Notamacropus eugenii: one gene and its partners. The protein of the gene in region 1 purifies or fractionates together with the protein of each later gene. This does not show direct contact. Links are inferred from orthologs where the notes say so. Each region holds a gene or a part of one and is shown in the gene's direction. Other genes may lie near its edges. The genes, in order: CTTN, ASAP1 and ACTR2.

The links.
Region 2: the proteins of CTTN (region 1) and ASAP1 purify together in Homo sapiens (affinity purification with western blotting; 6 studies listed by BioGRID and IntAct, with this or other methods). This does not show direct contact. The link is inferred for Notamacropus eugenii from reciprocal best matches to the Homo sapiens genes CTTN and ASAP1.
Region 3: the proteins of CTTN (region 1) and ACTR2 purify together in Homo sapiens (affinity purification with mass spectrometry; 3 studies listed by BioGRID and IntAct, with this or other methods). This does not show direct contact. The link is inferred for Notamacropus eugenii from reciprocal best matches to the Homo sapiens genes CTTN and ACTR2.

Annotation. Positions count from the first base shown.
Region 1 is NC_092873.1:22,595,462-22,603,027, forward strand, and holds the start of CTTN (src substrate cortactin), read left to right. Parts: upstream 1-4,491; 5' UTR 4,492-4,589; intron 4,590-4,652; exon of another isoform or gene 4,653-4,741; intron 4,742-7,566.
Region 2 is NC_092875.1:111,872,237-111,879,548, forward strand, and holds the start of ASAP1 (arf-GAP with SH3 domain, ANK repeat and PH domain-containing protein 1), read left to right. Parts: upstream 1-4,240; 5' UTR 4,241-4,400; intron 4,401-4,435; exon of another isoform or gene 4,436-4,995; intron 4,996-7,312. UniProt on the Homo sapiens protein: Possesses phosphatidylinositol 4,5-bisphosphate-dependent GTPase-activating protein activity for ARF1 (ADP ribosylation factor 1) and ARF5 and a lesser activity towards ARF6.
Region 3 is NC_092872.1:639,069,629-639,077,348, reverse strand, and holds the start of ACTR2 (actin-related protein 2), read left to right. Parts: upstream 1-4,719; 5' UTR 4,720-5,075; intron 5,076-5,799; exon of another isoform or gene 5,800-5,822; 5' UTR 5,823-5,839; coding exon 5,840-5,920; intron 5,921-7,720. Other genes in the region: N(4)-(Beta-N-acetylglucosaminyl)-L-asparaginase-like, read right to left, coding at 1-25. UniProt on the Homo sapiens protein: ATP-binding component of the Arp2/3 complex, a multiprotein complex that mediates actin polymerization upon stimulation by nucleation-promoting factor (NPF).

The DNA of each region.
Region 1 (7,566 bases):
GAGACAATATTTGGAAAGCCCTTACCCAGCGCCTGGCACATGGTAAGCACTCTATAAACGCCACTATTATTGTAAGTGAGGCTAAATGCTGCCACAGGGCAGTATGCTTTCCTCTTCATTCACTGCAACTCTGTGGTTTTTTGCTTAGTAAAAAAGCTGAGGAAAGCCCAGCACGAACAGGAGATCATAGGGTGATTATTCATCAGTGTGACAACATGTACACAGGGGTTGCAGGCTCTTTCCCCTTCAGAGTTTTCCTAATGAATTACCTGCTTCCTACCCCCCTCTTTTTCTTTTTTTTACACTTCATGAAAATCACCCAATTCTTACCCACTCTTCAATCAGTTGAGGCAGTTCAAGTGACTAGATGGCTTTTAAATAATGTCTTGGGTTTTCTTTTTCCCTTGTGCATCCAAGTAAGTTCCATTTTTTAAAAAAAATTTTTATATTTAGTTTTTAACATTCACTTCCATAAGATTTTGAGTTTTGAATTTTCTCCCCCACTCTCTCCTCTGTCTTCTCCAAGAGGGCATGCAATCTGATAGAGGCTGTACTTATGCATTCATATTAAACATTTTCACATTAGTCATGTTGTAAAGAAGACTTAGAATGAATGAGAGAAGCTAGGAGAAGGAAGAAGTACTACAACAACAAAGGGAGAGGAGGGCAAATAGTCTGCTTCCATCTGCCTTCAGGCTCCGAAGTTCTTCCTCTGGGTGTGGATGCATTGTTCGCCCTGAGTTTTTTGCAGTTGTCTTAGATCCTTGCTTTGCTGAGAAGGGCTAAATGTCAAGGTCAGTCATCACCTAGTGTGGCTCTTACTGTGTACAGTGTTCTCCTGGTCCTGCTCACTTCCCTCAGCATCAGTCCATATAAGTTTTTCCAGGTTTTCCTGAAGTCGCCCTGCTCATTTCTTATAGCACGACAGTATTCCTTTGCATTCATACACCACACTGGATGGACACCCCCTCGATTCCCAATTCCGAGTCAGCCTCAGAAATAGAGTTTGAACATTGGTTCTCTTTCTCCCTGTACCACACTTCTCTCCCCCCACCCCAATTTTGGGGGGAATGTAGGGTGAGATTTTACTCAATTACTTTTCTGCCAGGACACTTCTTGCTTAACACAAGACTTCCAGGTCAACATTAAAAGCTGAGTTTATGGCAGGTGGCACCCAATAGCTGGATTCTGCAGGAGGGGATGAACAGTCAGTGACTGCACAGGCTTCTATAAGAACATTGTACCCATGAGCAGCTGTGATGACCAGCCCTATTAGGAGGAAGCTGCCAGCTGTGCTCATTCATTTGAGCCAATGGAGGCTTCTGTAGTTCAATCATTTACTACTAGCTATTCAGCTTTAAGCAAATCAGTTAACCTACTGGCCTGTTTGCTCATCTGTGAAATGGGAATGATGCTTGGCACTGGCTATCTGGTTGTGAGGATCAAATGAACTCACTTATGTGAAAGTGTCATGTGGGATTGTGTTGTGTCATTAAATTATAATGACTCCTGGAAGATAAGTGTCATTAAACAGCTCTAGGCCCTCCAAGGATGTATACCAGGTGAGAGATGGTAGGCATCTAGGTAGCACAGTGGATAGAATGCCTGGCCTCAGACCCTTAACTAGTTGTGTGGCTCTGGGCACTTAACCTGTTTGTCTCAGTTTCCTCATCTGTAAAATGGAGAAGGAAATGGCAAACCATTCCAACATTTTTGCCAAGAAAACCGCAAATGGGGTCATGAAGTCAGACACAACTGAACAAGTGAATGACAGACAACATTATTTGACTGCCCCATCTCCAGTCCCTGGTTTGTACTACCCTGCCTGGGGGATTTTACAGACTTATTGGAGTTGGCATTTTTTTTTTTACTTTCAGAATCAGTAACTCCCCTTATTTCCCCCCTTTATCACATAAAAAATCCCCCAATTGTGTGTAAAAGCAAATTTTAGCATTTTGTTTGTTTTTTTTTAATTTTGGGTTCCAAGTTCTGTCCTTCCCATTCCTTTTCTGAGATGGCAGTTGATTTGGTATACGTGTGCAGCCATTCAGAACGTTTCCATATTATTCATGTTGTGAAGGAAAATGGACAAAATAAAAGTTTTTCTTAAAAAAGTATGCTTCATTCTGCATTCAGATTCCATTAGTTCTTTCTCTGGAGGTGGCTAGCATCTTTCATCATGAATCCTTTGGAATTGCCCTGGATTGTTGTATTGTTGAGAAGAGCTAAGTGATTCAGTTGATCATCATACACTATTATTTACTGTGTACCTTGTTCTTCTGGTTCTGCACCTTTCACTTTGTATCCATTCATCTGTGTCTTTCCAAGTTTTTCTGAAACTTTCCTCATAGTTTTTTTTTTTTGTTTTTTTGTTTTTTATAGCACAGTAGCAATCCATCACAATCCTTAGCTACAACTTGTTCAGCTATTTTCCAACTGGATGACATCCCCTCAATTTCCAAATCTTCACCACCAGTAAAAGAACTGCTAGAAATACTTTTGTACATGTGGTCCCTTTTCCCTTTGGGGTACATACCTAGTATAGTAATTCCCTTTTAGATGCAGCCCTTCTTGTTTCCAGAGAAAAAATTCCCCCTTCACCCCCACCCCCCAAACTCCCTTGACTCTCCACTCTTTAGTTTCAGCCCTGACATTCTGGAACAGTAGGGTGTAATGCAAAGGGCTTTTGATTTAGCCAAGATGTGGGAACAGGCCTGGCTGTTGTTTGCTACGGAGATATTTTTCAAGCAAATATTTGTTGAACCTGAGTTGCTTTTCGCAGTTTTCTAATCTGTGAAATGCAGAAAATATAGCATCTTCCTTCTGGGGATTGTTGAGGATCAAAGAGAGTAGAGGTCACAGGCCCTTTCTGGGAAAACTTATCTGACCCCAACCTAGGCATTGTGTTGGTCTAAGAACATTTTCAAAAGCTTACAGAAAATCAGATCTGGGCCTTTCCGCCGTAGCTATCCTTGTTCAGGCTTGTCCAACTCTTGGTGACCCCATTTGGGACTTTATTGGTAAACAGACTAGAGCTGTTTACCATTTCCTTCTCCAGCTCATTTTTACAAAAGAGAAAACTGAGGCAAACAGGGTGAAGTGACTTGCCCGGAGTCACTCAGCTGGTAAGTGTCTGAGCTCAGATTTGAATTCAGGGAGATGATTTTAGGGTTAACTCCAGGCCGGGCACTCCATCTGATGAGGTTCAGACTCTGGGAACTTCCTTGAGCTCCCCTGGAATTTCCTCACTGAACCTGGCTTTTCATACTCAAATTGAGCTCTCCTGTATCTCCTCACAGACTCTGACCTTTCATACTCAAATTGATCCCTTCCTGTATCTCCTCACAGAATCTGGCCTTTCATACACAGATCAGTGATCATTGTCTGTTATCCCTTGATTGCCCTACCTGCTTCCCACTTAGGCGCCCCCAAGTCTGATATTTGTTGACTCTCCTCAAGACCCTTCCTAAACCCCTCCTCCCATCACCCTGGACTACCAGAGGCCCCCCCCCCCCCCCCCCCCCAGATCCCTCCTATACTCTTTTCTGTATTTAAGTTTCATCCTGCCTCCATGAAGGCGCTCAGATGCAATCCAGCTCAGACTCTGTCTAGCTGGGATTGTGTCTGGCCCGCTTGTGAATACAAGCGTTACAAAAGCTTAGGCTCCTTAAGAGGCAACCCAATTAGGCGAATCCTTAATAAACTGTTTTCTTTGGCTTTAAGAAGGCTTGAGTCGAATTCATTCGAGCACGACCCGGACCGTCGGGTATTTTGGGGTTCCCGATCACCCCTGAACCTCATCACATCCACTTCGAGGACATCTGAGTGCACTGGGGATTCCACAAAGTCCTTTGTGGCCTTGGATGGATCATTTAGCTTCTCTGGCCCTCAGTTTCTTCCTCTGTGATATTGGGGGAGTGGCTGACTGATGAGGTCCTTTTCAGCTTTTCATTTTCTCTCTTGAACTATTCAGGAGACAGGTGGAACCAGATTTGGGTGTCCTCCCAGCTCTGGCTCCTGGACCCAGAGAGGGGAAGGAAATGGCCCAAGGTGAGTCAGAGGCGGCGCCAACTTTAAGGAATACAAAGTATCTGCTGGGAGAGGGCCGGGCTTCCGACCCTCGAAACAAGCTAGTCCCGAAGGGATACAAAGTATCTGCTGGGAGAGGTCCCGGCTTCCGAAGGAAGCCCGAATGTGAATTCCAGAATGCCCTGGGAGCCCGAGGGTCCAGGCGTGGGGTGGGATGAGAAATGAAAGAAAGGAAGAAGGGAAGAAAAGGGAGAAGGGAAGGATGAATGAATGGATAGGAACGCTGGGCAGTCCCCTAGGCTCCAAGCTGGGGGGTGATGAGCAGAAAGAAAGAGCAGACCCGAGGGAGACGCGGGGCGCAGGGTGCAGGCCGGGCCGGGCTGGGAGGACTGGCTCCGTTCCTCAGGTGGCTCCTGCGGGCTCCGCATCCCGGGCCCATCCCGGTGCTGACGACACAGGAAGTGTCGCGAGCGGAAACCGCGGCCGGACCGGAGCGGCGGGGAGGGAAGAGGAGGGCAGGGCATCGGTGGTCGCTGGCGAGCGCGGACGCACAGACCGAGGTGAGCGCGCGGAGGCGGGAGATTCTCCACGGACCGGGCGCGGCGCCACACGGGGCAAGGGGCTGCCGGGGAGGCCGACCCGGCTGCGGTTTCGCTAAGAAGTGGCAGCGTCTGGGCTGCTGCGGTTTGTCGTCTGCGGCTTTTTGGCCGAGGTAGAGGGGGGAGGGGACGCTGCTGAGCGTGAATGTGGATGTGGTCGGGTTCGAACTGAGCCCCCACCGCGATCTGGGGTGTAGGTAGGGGTTGTGGTCAGGGAAGGGGGCTGCCCTCCTGCTCCCCCACCCACACACGGGGTACAGTAGGGGACGAGAGCAGGGAGGGCCAGGTAGGAACTGGGTTTGATGAATGTGTGTGCGAGTCCTTGTCCGTGGGACTCAGGCCTCGGTTGCGGGCCGGGCCGGACCGCTCCTACTCGGGCGGTGTAGATAAATGGGTGTGGCGCCTTCCCTAACCCTCGGGCCGCTGCCTCCCAGTCTCTTGTGGTATGTCCGGCAGTCTGGTCACTGGAAAATGCAGCGACCCCTCCCCCTCCAGCCCGAGGGCTTCTGTCTGCGGGATTCCCCTTTCTGGGGGAGGGGTGGATGGGTAGGTTGGGCAGCGGAGGCTTTGTGGCCCGCGTCCGTGCACCACGAGCTTAGAATTCTCTAGGGAAAAGTTCCTCCGTGAAGGTAGGTGGGCTTGGACCTGTGGGATTTTATCGTCTGGTTGGATTGGGAGCTCCTAGGACCAGGGCCAAAGGATTCTTGGCACCCAAGAAAATGGCTTTTTAGCGGAAGGGGGGAGGGTCTGCCTAGGACTACTACTATCTCCTACCTGACCGAACCCACCGCCCAGGTCAGCTGGGGCAGAGCCAGAACACTTGGGTGATCAGCCCACTCTTCCGGGACCTGGCAAAGAGCGAACCCTCTGTGAATAGTACGTCAGATCCAACCCAGGCATTTGGGTTTGGAGTTTCTGCCTTTTCACTCCCTCCCAGTCTCCATGAGTCAGTGCCTCGTGTACTGCCATCGAGCACATCACATTTCTCTCCAAGCTGGTTAGATGTTTGCTGGAGAATCCAAGTATTTCTAGGAGGAGCTACTTGTATCCCAGCAGAAGCTGGGGAGACGATCCCTGCTCTATGTGCGATTGGGAGGGCAGGGTAGGCTCTCTTGGCCTGGACTTGGATGGGGGGAGGGGAAGGTTGTGATATGTCAATTTTTACCAAACCATTGATTTAAAAGATTTTCCAAATAAAGGAATTTCCACCCTTTTTGCACATGCTGGACTGGTTTTGATAGCTGGGAGAATGATAATGGGTCTTGGAATTCCTGTTGTCTGAGAACTGATTGAAGGGAAAAAAGCAGATTCTTGGGGACTGGATGTTTGTCTGCAAGTATCAGGAAGGAAGGAAGGAAGGGATTAAGACTTTTTTTCTTTAAGTTAGTTTGGAATTGCTAAGAGGTAAATGTAGATATCAGAGAACTATCCAGTGTGCTTTTCTCTCTCTGCCTTAAAGCTAGTGCTTATCCTCTGAAATTATCCCAGATATAGGGAGGTAAATGCAGATAGGTAGTAGGTAGGTAGGTAGATGGATGGATGGATGGATGGATGGATGGATGGATGGATGGATGGATGGGTGGATGGATGGAAGGATACCTATATAGATATAGGTAGACATGTAGACACATTCTGTATGTCTCCTCTTCACTCCTGGAACGTTAGGATGGGCTAAGACTGGCACTGGTTTTGCCCGTCTGTATTTCTAGTTTAGCCCAGTTTGGCACACGGTAAGCACTTAGAAAATGCCTACTGCCTGGACAAGTTCCTTTAGGAAGGAGGAGACTCTCCCTCTCTGGAGGAGCTGGGCAGAGCCTGTTTGCTTGTGGGAGATGTTTGGGGGGCTGAGCCAGATGCAGGAAGGCTGATCTATTTGATTCAGCTCAACAAAGTGCTTTTCCTCCACTTCAGGTCTGACCATTTCAGTCCCCTTCTCCATTGCCATAGGCTCCCAGTTTGTCATTTTCGGTCTGTGGAGCCTTGGCTCCAAGTGGCTTTTGCAGGCTCCTCGTCCCCATTCATCCCTAAGCTCTTTACAGCAGAACATTTGATGTGTTCTCTTCCCTCCCCAGCCACCACCCGGCCTTTCACCTGGATTATTACAGCAGCCTCCTCCCTAGTCTCCCTGCCTCCTCTCCTCCCCTCAGTTCTTCCCCCTCAGGAACTTCCTCTGATCTTGTCACACACTCCTGTTCAATCAAGTCAAACCAATGACTGCCAGTGGGGATAAAAAAAAGTCAAAACCAGTCCCTTGTCATTACAATGAACTCCAGGGTTTGCTTGTCTCTAGAGTCCAGGGGTGGGGAACCTGCAGTCTTGAGGCCAAATGTGACCCTCTAGGGCCTCAAGTGCGGCCCTTTGACTGAATATAAACTTCACAGAACAAATCCCCTTCATAAAAGGATTTGTTCTGTAAAACCTGGACTCAGTCAAAGGACTGTACCCGAGGACCTAGAAGGTCTCGAGGCATCAGGTTCCCCACCCCTGTTCTAGACTAATATTCACTCAGCTAGTTGGCATTTAAAGCCCTTGGCAGCCTGCTCCCTTCCTGCCTTTTTTCTTTTTCTATTCTACTCCTCTCTCTGTGTTCTGCAGTCTAGATCCACTGACCTTTTGGCCTTTCCTCACACATGCCATCTATTTCCAATCTCCATGCTTTTCCATGGCTGTTCCCCATGCCTGGCATGTCCTGCCTTTAAGACTCAGCTCAAGTCCTGCCTTTCCCTCAGCATTACCCCCAGTCTGCTGTGATGTACCTAATCTTGGCAGATCTTCTCTCCTGTTAGTATGTGGACTTCTTGAGGGCAGAGGCAGGGCACTCTTACAGTGCCCGGCGCATAGGAAGCCTGACTCTGGGCCACCCGACCTAGGTTTTCTGCTGCCTTTCCTGCCATACCCTGCTGTCTCTTCTCCCTGCCCCCTCAGATTCCACTCAGGC
Region 2 (7,312 bases), on another chromosome or scaffold:
TTTTGTTTTGTTAAAGAAATATTTGCCACACTAGATATGTTAGCATTATATCCACCCTTTTAGAGTTTGGGAGGAAACTTAAGGTTGTTTTCTGCAGGATAGTGGGTGTACAGAAGCTTTAGAAAATAATAACATCGTTAAGGACAGGAAATAATATCATAGACACCTAGAGTTCTTTTGTTTGATTATTTTAAATGTGGCAGTGTGGTACGGTAGAAAGAAATTAGACTTAAGAATCTGAAGCTCATCCCTGATATTTGCTATGTGATTGTGTTTGTCATTTCATTTTTCTGGTTTTAGTTTCCTCATCACTAAAATGGGTATGATAATGCCGCTACTATGTGCTATGAGGCTGGGTGGTTTGTGCAAAGTCTTCAGTCCCACTCTCTTCTCCAGTCATTGGAGTCCAGTGGCAAGACATAGGTCAGGATGATTGGGGATGCCCCAGGATGCAGTGGGAAACCTTGGCCTTTTCAAGCTAAGATATTTCCCAGGTCTCTGTAAGGCAACGCCCTGACAGAGTGATACAATACATCAACAGCTATGTATTAAGCACCCTTCTATGTGCCAGACACTGTACTTAGTGCTAGAAAGTGGAAAGATCTATAGGTTAGAGAAAACTGTGTTCCAGTTCCCTCTCTAACATTTACTACCTGTTTGGCCTTGGGCAAGTCATTAACTGGTCAACCAGCATTTATGAGTTCTTACCACATTCCAGACTCAGTGCTAAGGCTTGGGGATATAAATACAAACAAAATGATAAGCTTTCTTTGGCCTGCGGGAGCTTACATTCTAATGGAAGAAAACAATACATAAAAGGAAACTGAAAAGCACTGTGGACCAGCACAAAGAAGGAATCCTGATAAAGAGTTTTATGGAGAAAACTGCAGTGCAGCCTGGGGAGAAGAAATAAAGAGAGCTGGCCTGAGCATCCTCCCTAAATGAAAGTTCTGGAAGGAGCCATCCAACCAAAGGGAGGGGTTGCAGGGGCAGAGAGTACTTGCATATTTCTGAGGTGTGAATTCCAGGACTGTTGCGATCTTCCAGGCTTGGTAGAAAAGTCCTAACTTCAAGAAAGTTAACTCTCTTGAGCTTCAGTTCCCTTACCTTTAAAATGAGGATGTTGGATTGGAAGGATCTTGGTTGATTGGTTGGTGGTTGTCCTTCCCTCTCAAAGAGGACCAAAATGACTTCACTCTGCTAGAGTCAAGTTTCAGTATGTCCGACTATGGCTGATCAGACCAATACAAACTTGGAATGCTCTACCACAGGTTGGGCACAAATAGTCCGTGTGAACATTTGGGGTGGTTACTCCAAATTGCACATCCTGCATTTCCTTTGAGCTGTCCCAGTTCTGCTTTCCTCATAGAGCACAGCACCTTCTCTGATGTGGGCATGCCATGCTGAGGGGTCCTGTGCCAGCGTCTTCCATTAGAAGGTTGGAAGGATATCGTGTGAATCAAATGAGATAATCATTCTACCTACTAAGCATTCATTAAGCACCTACTATGTGTCAGCCCACTGTACTGTGTTTGCACACACAAAACATGAAATAATCCTTGTTCTCAAGGATCATGCATTCTGCTGGGAGGGGAGGGAACAACAGGTACATATATTAAGGCTCTATAAAATAAAAACAAAGAAACAAAGTAAAATTAAAGAAGAAACAGACTAACAATGCTGGGGGTAAGGAAAGGCTTCCAAGAGACAGCAGCACTTGGTGTTATATGTGTGAAATGTTTCTAAAGCAATCTGAGGCTAAATAAATATGAGCTTTTGTTACTTATTCAGAACATAGTAGGATTATGTCAGGTAAGAAGGTTATAAAAATGCGATAGTCATAGAATCCAGCTCTACTGGAAGGGACCTTGTGTAGTCATCGACTCCAAATCCTACCTTTTACATGTGAAAAAACTGAAGCCCATGGAAGTGAAGTCATTTGCCCAAAGTCACACAGTTACTTTTTGTATTTTACAGTGAACTGGGAAGAGTTACTAGATATAGAGTTAAGGACACCTCTGTTCTAGTCCTGGCCCTGATTTTTCTTGTCTTTGTGAAGTTAGGTAGGAGTGGTAGTGCATTGTGATTCTGGCGCCAGAACTTTGGAGTTTAATCATTCTCTGTCATTTAACAGGACTTCAAAAATGTAACCTCTCTGGAACCCAGATGCCTCAGCTGTATAGTGAGAGGGTTAGCATAGGTGATCTGTCCATCAGGTAGCAAAAAGGAAGGGCCATAAATAGAGGAGGAGTAACTGGATGCTCCTGAGGTATTAATGGAACAACCATATTGAGTAGGTAAAGTGAGGAAAATTTAGTAGAAAGTATGGATAAGATCAGGAAGGAAATAAGCATTTGTGAAGTGCCTACTATGCTCTAGGCATTTTACAAAAATTAACTTATGTGATCCTCACAACAACCCTGTCAGGTAGGTGCTATTAATAGCCATGTTTTATAGTTGAGGTAACTGAGGCAAACAGAGGTTAAGTGACTTGTCCAGGGTCACATAACTAGTAAGTTTCCCAGGCTGGATTTGAAGTCAGTTCTCCCTGATTCCAAGCCCACTGCTGTATTCACTGTATCATCCAGCTGCCTAGGATGAAAAGCTTTAGTAGGGTTAGGATCTGAACTGTAGAGAAAATGCCCAAATAGATGAAATCATGTAGCCACTAAAGGGCTATTCAGTTATTAGTGGCAGACTCATGCTCCATGACTCCCAGTCCAGTGTTTTTGGTCCTACATTCTCTCCTACCACTTTAATCTATATAAAGTCACAGAAAATATAAACATTTTTGAAGTTAATTTTTTTTGTTTAGTTGTTTCAGTCATGTGTAACTTTTTATGACCCCATTTTTGGAGTTTTCTTGACAAAGATACTAGAGTGGTTTTCCATTTCCTTCTCCCACTCAATTTCCAGATGAGGAAACTGAGGCAAACAGGGTTAAGTGACTTACCCAGAGTCACACAGTAAGTATCTGAGGCCAGATCTGAACTCAGGAAGAAGAGTCTTCCTGACTTCAGGCCCAGCACATATTATTTTACAGAATTTATCAAATTGAGCAAAATATTCTATAAAACTGATTAGAATGTTTAGATCACAGCATGGTATAGTGTACAAAACACTATTTGGAAGCAAGAAGTCTACATTCTAATCAAGTTACTATGGCTTAGTACTTGTGTGACTCTGGGCAAATCACTTCCCCCTGGCTGTTGAAATCCCTTCCTGTTCTGATTTGGAGATTTATATAGAGCACCTTAGTTAAGCCCATAAGTAATTTCAGCCTTTGACTTGGATTTCTATTTATATTCTCTTGGAATTTCAGTGCTTAATGGGTTGTAAGAGGAATTTAAAAAACTCAAACCACCAGCTTTAAAAGTTTGGGCCAGGTTTTCCAAAGCATTTTGAGAGCACTGTTATACAGCAGAAAAGGGTTTGGGATGTAAAGACAGAAGACCTGGATTCTGGTTCCAGTTTTCTCAGTAAACTAGGTGTGTGATCTTGGGTAGATCAGTTCCCCTTCAAAAGGACTTGGTTTCCTCATTTGTGAAATGAAAGCCTTTGTACTAACCAGCCTCTATGGTCCCTTCCAACTCTAAATCCTGTGGTCTTCTCCAGAATTTTTAATCCTGAGAGCCCTGAGTCTTCTGCTTAGAGCAAAAATCTCAGTGTTTGAAGGCTCCCCTGGTTTCAGATTTCACGAGAAGAGGTTAAGAGCCCAGCTTTGAGGCTCAGCTTCACTTAACCAGGCAACAAGCAGTTTGTGAAATGCCACAAAAAGTAGAGTCGAACATCCAAGAGAACACAAAAGGCAGAGGTGGAGGGAGAGGGTGCATGGAATTTCCTAGGAGGCCCAAATCGATGGCATACATACATAGTGTGGGGTCTCTTTCTCTCTAAGTACTTTTCTGTTTTCCTGGCTTGGAAATGCCCTTCCCTTCCCCCTTGGTACTAGCCTCAGAATTAATAACAACAAATTTTTTTAAAAGGCAGAAAGAAGAGTTGAAAAGAGCGCCAAGAAGTGTCGATTGTGACAAAAAGGAACTAAAACAAAAAGAATCAAAAACCCCATATTATACCAGATGCCTTCTGGGATCCAGGAGCAGAAAGGTCTGTTCTTAAATGCCTTGCTGCTGTAGATGGGCATCTTGAGAACAATTCATTTCTGAGCACAAAATGTACACCAATGGGCTTGGGAAAGGAGGAGCATGAGGAAAAAAATATTGTCAGGAAAGTTTAAGCTGGAAGAGAGGAGGGACTGGGGCAGGGACTGGGACAAGGGCAAGGGCAGGGGGGAGGGGGGGAGAAAAGAGGTGTGTTGCAAAGGGGCTTCCCAGAGCGGCTCACAGTGGAGAGAGATCAGGAACTGTTTTGAACCCTCCTGGTGAGCTCGAGTTACAAAGGTAGGTGGGCGGGTGGGCGGGGGGCTGGGGGAGCTGGGATTGACTCGGTACTCCGGCTTGCCCGGCAGGGGAAGGGTTAAAGGGAGACTGACCAGCCCGCGGTGCCGTGTATCTGCGGACATGATGGAATGTTTATTCAGTATTCAGATTTCCTGTTTAAGTGTCTGGATTTCCTGAAATCCTTGCTATCAACCCGAGGGTTATCCACTGAGCAGCGTGCTTGGGTGGTGGGTTTCCACCCACCCCGCTCCTTTCTCCCTCTCTTTTCCTTTCTTTTTCCCTCCCCCTGCTCACATGGTCCATTTTTCCTTCCTGCTAGTTCTTCTGAGTTTTAGTGCTTACTTATCGTGCGGGGCATTAATGGGCATAAAGCTCCACTCGCAGGACCCCAACCTCTCGGGATAACCGTCCTTTGGAATCGAGTTTAATATCCGACCCAAGAACACACCATATATACTCACACGAAGTATTGCAGAAACATGGTGTGCTGCGGCTGCTGGGGGGAGGCTGAGTTTTAGCCCAACATGGAATGAATAATGATGGATTTAGCTTGGATGCCTAAGCTTGGACTGGGAATACAGATGCACAAGTCCTGGTGAGTTACAGGGTAGGGGGGAGGGAGATGTAAGGAAGGGCGGGAAGTCCAACTGAGATAGGATTGTAGGCGTTGAAAAAAGCTGGTGAAAGGGAATATCTTAATATATTTTTCAAGTATTCCCCCAAATAAGCAATCAGAAACTCATCAGCTATGGAGTTTTCCCACAAGTGTGTGAGGTTTCAGAAGCAAAACTCTGAAAGACTTCACCTCTACATTCGTTGACAGCTGTTTTTTCCTCTCCATAGTCTGATTAGCCTGGACAGGAATGTTTTCCAGTCTTTGCCCCAGCAGCTGAGGAGAAAGAACTCTGGGAGTGCATTGTTTGTTTTCTGCTCCAGAGATCCCCCATCCCTGTAGCAGATTCCCAGAGGTGATTTAAAAGCAACACACAGGGTTGTAACTTGTTGAAACCGACTTGAATTTTGTTGAATGTTGTTTGGGATGACTTGGGAAGTGGGTTGTTTTTTCCATCTTGCAATTTATTGAAACTTTAAATTTTCAGTTCTATTATATTGATTTTAAAAAACAACAGACTCAGTCTAGTGTTTGAAGCTTATTCTTAAATTTCTGGGGCAATACTTGCTCTTGATTTCTTCTGTAAATTATGCGTGTTTTCCCTGGGTAATGAGTTGAATGCTCTCAAATGCATTGTGATAGATTTATTTTGAAATTGCATTTTCTATCTGAAGAGCTAGATTCAAATCCTGGCTTTGCTGTGTACTTAAACTCAGTAACTTTTAGCCAAGTCATTTCACATTTCTGGGCCTTAGTTTCCTTCTCTGTAAGTTTGACCCAAAAAATTCTTGAAAACCTCTTTCAGTTCTGAAGCATAGGCTCATATGATTAGATCCTAAATTCGATTCTATGTGTCACTAGTTTGATCTCTGGATCAGGGGTTCTTAACCTTTTTTGGGGCTTGGATCCTTTTTGCAGTCTGGGAAAGCCTGAGAACTCCTTCCCAGAATGTTCATGTTGACATACAATTGTCGATATTTTTTTTGAAGTTCACAGACTGGGTGAAGATTCCTTGCTCTAGAAGAATCCAGTTCAGTTCCACAAGCATTAATTAAATGCCTACTATGCAAAGCACCACCTGGGCACTAGAGAGATAAAGACAAGATGAAGACCAGTCTGAATCTGGTTTATGCCTCAGGCATAATCATACACTTGATAATTAAGTGGGAAGTTGCCTGAGTGGTCTGCAACCAACCAGATTATTTTTGGCAAAATTCATTTGGGGGATAAATGTGGGGTAATGTGTTGCTGGGGAATACTTTGATATTTATTGTACAATGTATTCGTCTTTTAAGTAATCCTTGTCTCATATAACCTTAACTCACAGGGAAACGTTTAATATGCTGCCTTCCTAAGTGCATTTTTATAGATTCAACTGGAGATGAAGATGTTTCCCTGAATGTTTGATATCAGAAAAACAGAATATTAGAGTTGCTAAAACCTTAAGAACATCTGGTCTATTCCCTATTTTTCTTTGGTAAAGGAAATTGAGATGCAGAAGGGAACAGTGATTCAGAAGATCATAGTTACAGAGTTGGAAGGGGCTTTAGAAGCTGAATCCAACCCTTTCATTTTGCAGATGAGGAAACAGAGGCACAGAAGGATTAAGTGATTTCCCCAGGGTCACTTGAATAACTTGTATTAGCGCTGAGACTAGAACTCAGCTTTCCTGGTTGAATCTTAGCCTAGTATATCTTCTGTGCCCTCCTGCGATCTTGCAACTCTGGAGCTAGCCATAAAAGTTTTTTCTCAGTGTTGTTATATACCAAGCATATTGAGCTATTTCATGAATTTAGCTTTGCTTTAGGGAAGTGTTCCTGTTCCAGCTTTTGATACTGTTGGGAATACTGAGTCTTTATTATTTAACAATTTTTTAACAGCCTCTTTGCAAACAAACAAGGAAAACCCAAAAGGCAACACCACTCAATACAAAATCCTGATGAAGTTCTGTGTTCTACCTATAAAACCCACAGATGGATCTGAAAAATAAATTTTGTGGATTATTACAGAGGAAATTATTTTATCAATGCTTTCAGTGAAAAACATACACTGCAGAGTCCACAGAATGGCAGTGTCCCAGAACATAATGTACCATATGACGCTGTCTTGATTTTCAGTCCTCATGTTTCTTGTAAAAGAAGCATCTCTTCTTCCCTCCTCCCCTCCCCAATCCGTGAGATAACTGAATGACTGACTATTCATATTTAGCATGTGAGAATGGAGAGAAAAGGACATTTTTACATCCAAAATTTGGATTGCCTCTTTTGAGCAGCATTGGGTGAAAGGAAATTCCAAGTTA
Region 3 (7,720 bases), on another chromosome or scaffold:
CCCAAGTGCCAACGGCGGCGGCCATGGTAACGCCCCGCGGAGGACTGGAAACGAGAGGAAAGGGAAGGAAGAAGGGCTCCGGTGGCAGGGCGCGGCGGCCGGAAGCGGGGCAGAGAGCGTGGGCGGGAGTAGGCAACCATAGAGAGAGAGGGAGAGAAGACCCAATGGGCAGGACAAGGCGCGGGGCGGAGCCTCTGCCTCCTCCAGCCTCTCATTGGACAGCGGCGCTGCCACTCCTCGCTTGGACGCTTTCTCGAAGTCCTCCATCCGACTTCTCTCCCTCCCCCCTCAAGGAGCTGTCAGTTAGACGGCAGGCGGGGCGGGGCAAACCACTTCCGGTTGGGGCCAGAAAGTTGAGCTGAAGGAGGGGCAGAAAGAAGGAGGAGGAGGAAGAGGAAGAGGAAGAGAGCGAGCGAGCGAGCGATCCTGGGCGGTGGCAGCGGCGGCGGCGGCGGCTGTGGTAGCTTCCCCAGCGGCAGGAGCGGCGGCGGCGGCGGCGGCTAGCCCAGCTGAAGAGGGAGAGAGGCGGGCAGGCGGCGTTGGTTCTCTCCGGGGCTCACCATGGACAGCCAGGGCAGGAAGGTGGTGGTGTGTGACAACGGCACCGGGGTAAGCGCCGAGCCCGGGGGAGGCCTGTGGGGACCGGAGCCGAAGAGGGCCCGCCGGGGGAAGAGGAAGGTGTGTGGGCAGGCGGGCTGGGCGCGGCGCCGTGCGGGCCCCCGGGGGTGGGGGGCCTGCGCCCTCCCGCCCCCGCCGCCCCCGCCGCCCCTCTTCCTGTCAGCCCCCCACCCCCACGCCGCGCCTCTCATCCCCGCGGACGGGGGATGGGGGGATAGTCTCCTGCTCGCCCCCTCCCTGAGTGCCTTGGAGGAGCTGCCGAGGACAACGGGGGTGGCTGATGAAAGATAGACCCGCTCCATCTCGAGCAGCTTGTGGTTTTATAAAACAAGAGTGGTCGGGCCTTCCTCTTCCTGTAAACTCGAAGGTAGAGCCTCGGAGGCAGGAAGCGAGGGGCTAAAAAAGGAAGCAGGGCTGGCAGCCTCCGTCTGCAAGCCGCGTCTCGGAGGGGCTCCCGGGAGGGGGTCTGGGGGAGGCGCCCACCGTGGACGTCCAGTCGGAGGAGCCTGGGCGGGCGAGCCCCGGGGGCCGAGGGCTGCCCAGGTGTGGTGGTGACCTTGGGAGAAGTTACCAAGCCCCTCCCGTTCCTCTTTTTCTCCTACTGCGAGTTCCCCATGGGTATGATCTTAAATGAGATCCCCGAACGCCGGGAGTTGTAAAAACGGTTGGTTATTCCCCCTCCCTTTCTTCCCCCAGGCTCCTTTTGGGAGAGGGGAAGAAAGGTCTGCCTTTTTTTAAAATTTTTTATCAGAAAGCAAAATCAGAACAAATCTCAAGATTGAAACATGATTTCTTTGGAATGTGTTCTCCAGGAATGATTTTATGTTACATTTGTTTTTATGTTACGTTTTTATGGTACATTTGTTCTCAACTCTTCTTGAGGTTGCCACAGCATACCGATGTACAGATGCTTTTTTAGTGATCCTGCCTACACTTCTCTCTCCCAGCAGGGTCTAGTATGTGAATTAAAATTAAAAATAATTATTTTGGTAAACTCTTCTAGAATTATACTGTGGAAAACATAATGAACTTGAAATAAACATAAGTAAACCTTTTGTAAATTAAGAAATTGAAGCCCAGAGCAGTTGTGACTTGCACAAGGTAACACCTCATGTTAGTGGCATCACTGTGACTAGAACCCAGCTTGGTAATTTATTACTTACTGTACTACACAGGTTTGCCTCTTATAATGGTGTGGGCTGTTGGAAAAAAAAAATGGTTGGGAATCCCTGTTGCTTTGATGCCATAGCCTTTTAAAGGGATTATTAAATATAAAATGTACTGGAAAAAATACACTGATTTCTTAGGACACTTTCATTTTGATTTTTGTCAAAGGAGAAGATTGAAATATAGGATTATCTCTGATTTATTTCCACTATACTCACAGTAATGTTCAGAAAGCAATTTTGTGCATGTATTTAGAGATCTATATAGGGTTAGTGATAGTAGATGAGAGTTCATTCGCTTAGAGAACTTCTAAATGAGGAAATTCCCTCTGCAGACAATGCAAATTGACACCTTCTCTGTAACTGTGTGTGTGTGTATATATATTGTTAGTGTCTGCAAATATGAATACATTAATTAGTTTAAAATGAAGAAAGAACCAGCATTAGTAATGAAGTAATATTGATAGCATCATAATACATTCATGGATACTTTGGCATTTCTATAAGCTTTTGATATAGACATATATATATATACAGTCTAGTAAATCAATCACACCCTGTCTTTTATGTTGATTTTATTCTAGAACAACATTTCATATGCATTTAAATATTTGCAAGGCCATAGTATGCATGTAGCATTTTCATTTGTTCTTTGTTCGTTCAAAGTTTTTTTAGCGATGGTTTATGCCAAAGTTTGGTGATTTTTTACTACTTATTGGCCAGGCCTTTTGCCTTCAGATTCTTCTGTTTGCAAATAATAATGTGCTGAGTTTTACCAAGGCCCAGAAGATCACAGAGCCTTTTAAATCATTTAGTTCAGTTTTAACTATTCACATAGAGAAACCTAAAGAATGCCTCCATCCCAGACTGCTATGCAGTTTGATAGGCAACCTGTAGCTTCTATTTGTTGAACAATAACAAATTGTTCAACAATTTTTTGAAGCAAAGAAAATAAGCAACAGAGCAAGAATCCACGTTAACCTGTATGAGTTGACTGGACACTTAAAAGATGCTTTAAAAAAAAGTTAAGTGATCGTTTAATACAGTTATGAGCTGTGCTGAAAATAAAACAAGAAGAATAATGGGCTAGACTGTGTTTGTTAAATAGCACAATTATTTTAGTGACAGTTCCCCTCCAAGCTTCTTCCTATAACAAAAGCTCTTATTTTTTTTTTAACACCAGTAGTCTTATTGTGATGTTACATAGTCACATATAATCATACTCTGTGGTTTATGGAATTAGATGGAGGATAAACCAAAAGGTACATGGTAGGCAGGGGTAGCATACAGTATGTTCCAAACCAGAAATGGCTCAGGAAAGGCCTTGTGATAAAGATGTAATCAGAAATACATGATCAGGAAAACCAAAAAAGGTAAGCCAGTCAAGAACAAAGAGTAATGGATAGCCTGCACTTCCTTGATATCCACTGATGCCTGGAAAATGAGAAGTAGGTCCCCAAATCATTAGATAGACCCTTTGTGGCCAATTTATGGGAGAAAATGAGAGTGCATGGATGATTTCTAGTGTTCATCATTAGGAGGGATGAAATCCTAACTCCATTGAAATATAAAATTATCAGAATATTGGTCAGGCTTAAAAATGCCCAAGCATTTCACAGTTACAAGGCAGGATGAAGGTGCAGTATTTACTTCTTCATTTCTAATATTTCCACTCCGTATAACATTCAGGGTAAGGCAAAGAGAAAGGAAGCTAATACTTCTCAGTTAGGCTTCTGGTGGCGTTTGAAGGGCCCGTAGTAAAGAAGTCCTGAGTTCAGATGTGGTCTCAGACACTAACTGTACCATCCTGAGCAAGTCATTTAATATCTGTTAGCCTCAGTTTCTTCAGCTATAAAGTGGGTATTAAAAACAGCACCTTCCTTGCAGGGATGTTGTGAGGCTCAAATGAGATAATGTTAATAAAACACTTAGCACAGTGCCTAGCATGTAGGAGGAGCACATATCAATGCTTATTCCTCTCCCTCTTCTCCAAAATGTCCTAGCCCTTAAACTCCTCCAGTATTTGGCATAACTGCTCTCTAAAGTGGCATCACAAGGATTGGCAGTGAATCTGTACCCTAAAGTAACTCCAATCTGGAGATCAGGAAGGCTTTACACAAAGCTGAGAGGGATAGTTAGTACATTTTGATTGCATCCAAAAAGATCTCAACAGGTTAGTACACTGGGAAGAATCTAATTAGATAAAATCTGGTAGAGGCAAAGTCTTAGATTTGAGTTCTTTAGAAACCTACTTCCAAAGCACAGGATGGGAGAGGGAAAGTTAGCAGGGTTTTTTTTGTTAGTTTTTGAAAAAATAATCTGGGGAATTTAGTGGAATGCAAACTCAGTATGAGGCAGGAGAGTGATGTAGCTGCTCAAAATACTTAATATACTTTGGGACTGGATTAAAGTTTTAAAATTTATTTTGAACTTAAATACAAAATAATAGAAGAAAAAAATTGCCATATACATAGCAGAACACGAGAGGATTCAATATAAAGCAATGAATTCCCATTTCAAGAAAAACAATATAAGTACAACACATTTTCAAAGCCGTCCATCTTTTCTTTGCTTTTGTATAGATTTTCTTTTATCCTCTGCTGTGCACTTTTTACTTTATTTTTCCCTTTCCCCTCCCCAAGAAGGCTGCAATTAAGTGCAGATATATTTTTTATATATAACATAAATATACATACACATATATATACATATACATAAACATACATATATACACATATACATTCAAATGTGTGTATGTAAGACCGTATTATACGTGTTTCCATTTGTCATCTTTTTCTCTGAAGATGGATAGCATCTTCCTTCATAAGTCCAAGTCTCTATATTTTTCCAGATCCACCAGCTCATCATTCCCTACATCACAAAAATATTATGACTCAATCATATTCTATCTGAGAGATTGTGAGAGTTTTTCCCTCAATTTTCTGCATTCACTCTATTCTTGGCTACATAGGTTTTGAGTCTCTTTCAATTGAGGATTGGTTGGTGGATTTGGGAATGGATAGCTTGACGCAGAGAACACTTGGAAGGGAGAGAATAGTTGTCTCTCCAAGTATTTGAAGGGCCTTCTTGTGGAAGAGAAACAGAACTTGTTTGTTTGGCCCTAGGGTGCAGAACTAAAGCAGTGTTTGAAAATTGCAAAGAGACAAATTGAGATTTGATGTTTGGAAAATTTTCCTAAGAATTAGAACTGAACAAAAAATTGAATGGGCTGCCTTAAGAGAATCATTGGAGGTCTTCAAATAGAGGCTGGATCACCACTTTTCTTTTCAAGTATGTTATAGTGGGGTTGGACCATATGACCACCAAAATCACTTCCAGCTTTAATACTATGTGATTCATTCAAGAATCAATCCTTACGTAGCAGGGACAACTTGGTGGTGCTGTAGATAAGAAGCCAGTCCGTAAGACTCATTTTCTTGAGTTCAGATCTGGCCTTAGACACTTACTGTGGGCAAAGCTCTTAACCCTGCTTGCCTCAGTTTTCTCATCTATAAAATGAGTTGGAGAAAGAAATAGCAAACTATTCCAGTATCTTTGCCAAGAAAACCTCCAAAAATTGAATTTATGAAGTCAGTCAGACACAACTGAAACGACTCAACAACAATGTAGTTGAACCCTGAACTTTGCTGGCTACCGGTTACCACCCTATGAATTTTAGTAGTTTATAGAAGTTCTGCACTAGTGTATGAATTTTCTGTTATTTAACTGTGGGTAGGATTTTTTAGGGACTCTGCTGATTTTATGGAGATACTGAGGTTGTTTGAAATAAAACCATCATCTGGTTAAGAAAGAATAACTTTGAGGTGAAAGTCAATAACTCTTCAGTCTTTAGTTTTCTGGGACAAATAGGATTGCAGGATGGTGTTCTAATAATTATCTGATTAAAATAATGAAAAAGGACTAGTTTCTGATAAAATCAGTGGAAGAAAAAAGACAAGTAAAAGCAAGGTTTAAATTTGCTCATAAAATGTTTTTTCAAGCTAATGTAGCTAATACTCTTTAATTTTTGCCTGAAAGACTGTGACAGACTGTGAATGTTCTTACCATTTGATGACTCAGTGGGAAGTAAGAGAGTCAGTTTCAACCACAATGCTATGAAGAGGAAACTATATATGGTAAAACTTATTTCTTAAACACAGCCTTCTTGCACACACCAGGGGAAATTAGTAGCTAAGTTTTTAAATGATGAGAGGTTGTAAGCGTATGCCATGTCACATTTTGCCTTTTAAGGATTAAAGTGACAAAATATGGTTTGAACAAGGCTTATTTCCTTCATTTTACAAATTAATAATTGTGGTTTCTACATATTTTCTGAAAATTGTGATTTTGGTGCAGGAAGAATAAATGTTTTTTTTTCTTTTGAAATTCCTTAATATATATTTCTTTTAAAAAACTCATTTAATTTTAATACATAATAATGTACTTTAATACATAGTAATACATAATATATAATACATGAATATATATTATACATATATTATGTATAATACATGTATTATGTATAATACATAAATAAATGTACCTTAATTTTGTTTTTATAAATGAAATGAATATGTTCATGTTTTTAAAATGTTAAATTTACAGTATACTCAAGTGCACACATAGACGAACATGAAAACTACCATGTATATTTGGGAGCTGACATGTACGTTAAAGTTAGCATATGTACTTGTGAGCTTAAACTCATATGCAAGAGCTAACACAAGTCATTATGTACAGTACATTAATTTTGCCACTTGTATTTAGCGGTAAACAGACTTAATCAGCTCTTGTGAATACCAAAATCAAATTTTCTAAAATCCCCTTTCTTACATCAGAAAAAATTATCCTGTCAGATTCTTTATGGTTTCATGTAGGGGAGCTGTTCCTTGCTTCTGGGAGTGGGGAGGCAGGGAGAAGGTGGTGGTGGCTACCTATTTATCAGTTCCCTTTTAAGAGTCTTTTGCTCTAATACCTCCTAAGAGTTTGTAGATGATTTTAGGCTCTCAGTTCAGTTCAATAAACATTTATTAAGCAACTTTGTTACCTGGCTGAGTGCTAAGCCGTGGAGATACAAATAAGAAAAAGAAAGTCTCTTCCCTTGAGGAGCTCACAATTTAAGAGGGGAGAAAGAGGAGAAGACCACACTCAAAAGGAAACTGGAAAGCAAGGGGGAGTGGTATATGGAAGTCCAGGAGCCTGATATTATATGGAGTGGAAGGGGACAGCTGATGGAAAGAGAATTACCTGGGCTATATTTTTATGGTAGAGATTTTTTTTTAAACTATGTACCTGTTAAAATAGTTTTGAAGTAGTTTTAAAATTTAAAGTGAAAGATGTGTGCTATAGTATAGTTTATCGAATGATTTTGAGCATCCCAAAGAAACCTGTGTAGAAATGTTAGTCATTGTTTGATAAATACATTTGCTACATAATAATTTAACACTTAAGTGTTCATTATTTTGCATTTGAGTGTTATATTATAACAGTTTTTTCTTTGAACAGGTAGAAATTCAGATAACTTCAGAAATACAATCTAAATTGTTTCCACTTTCAGTACTGTCTCTTATCTTTAAACTTGGAAACTTTGAAAATGTCTTTTGCAGCTTTCCAAGTAGTTAAGTTTTTTTTTCAAGTTTGCAATCTTTTTATTGCATTAAATATTGTGCTTTTTTTATTAATAATTTCTTTTCAGTTTTCAACAGTCATTTTTATAAGTTTTAAATTTTTCTTCCTCTCCCTCCCTCTTCCCTTCACGCAATTGTAGGTGGATTCTACACATACATTCTTATTAAACACATTTTCACATTGGTCATGATGCATAGAAGAATTAAAATGAATGGGAGAAACCATGAGAAAAAGCAAGAAAACCCATAATGAAATAGAAAATATTCTGCTTCATTCTGCATTGCAACTCTATAGTTCTTTCTCTGGAT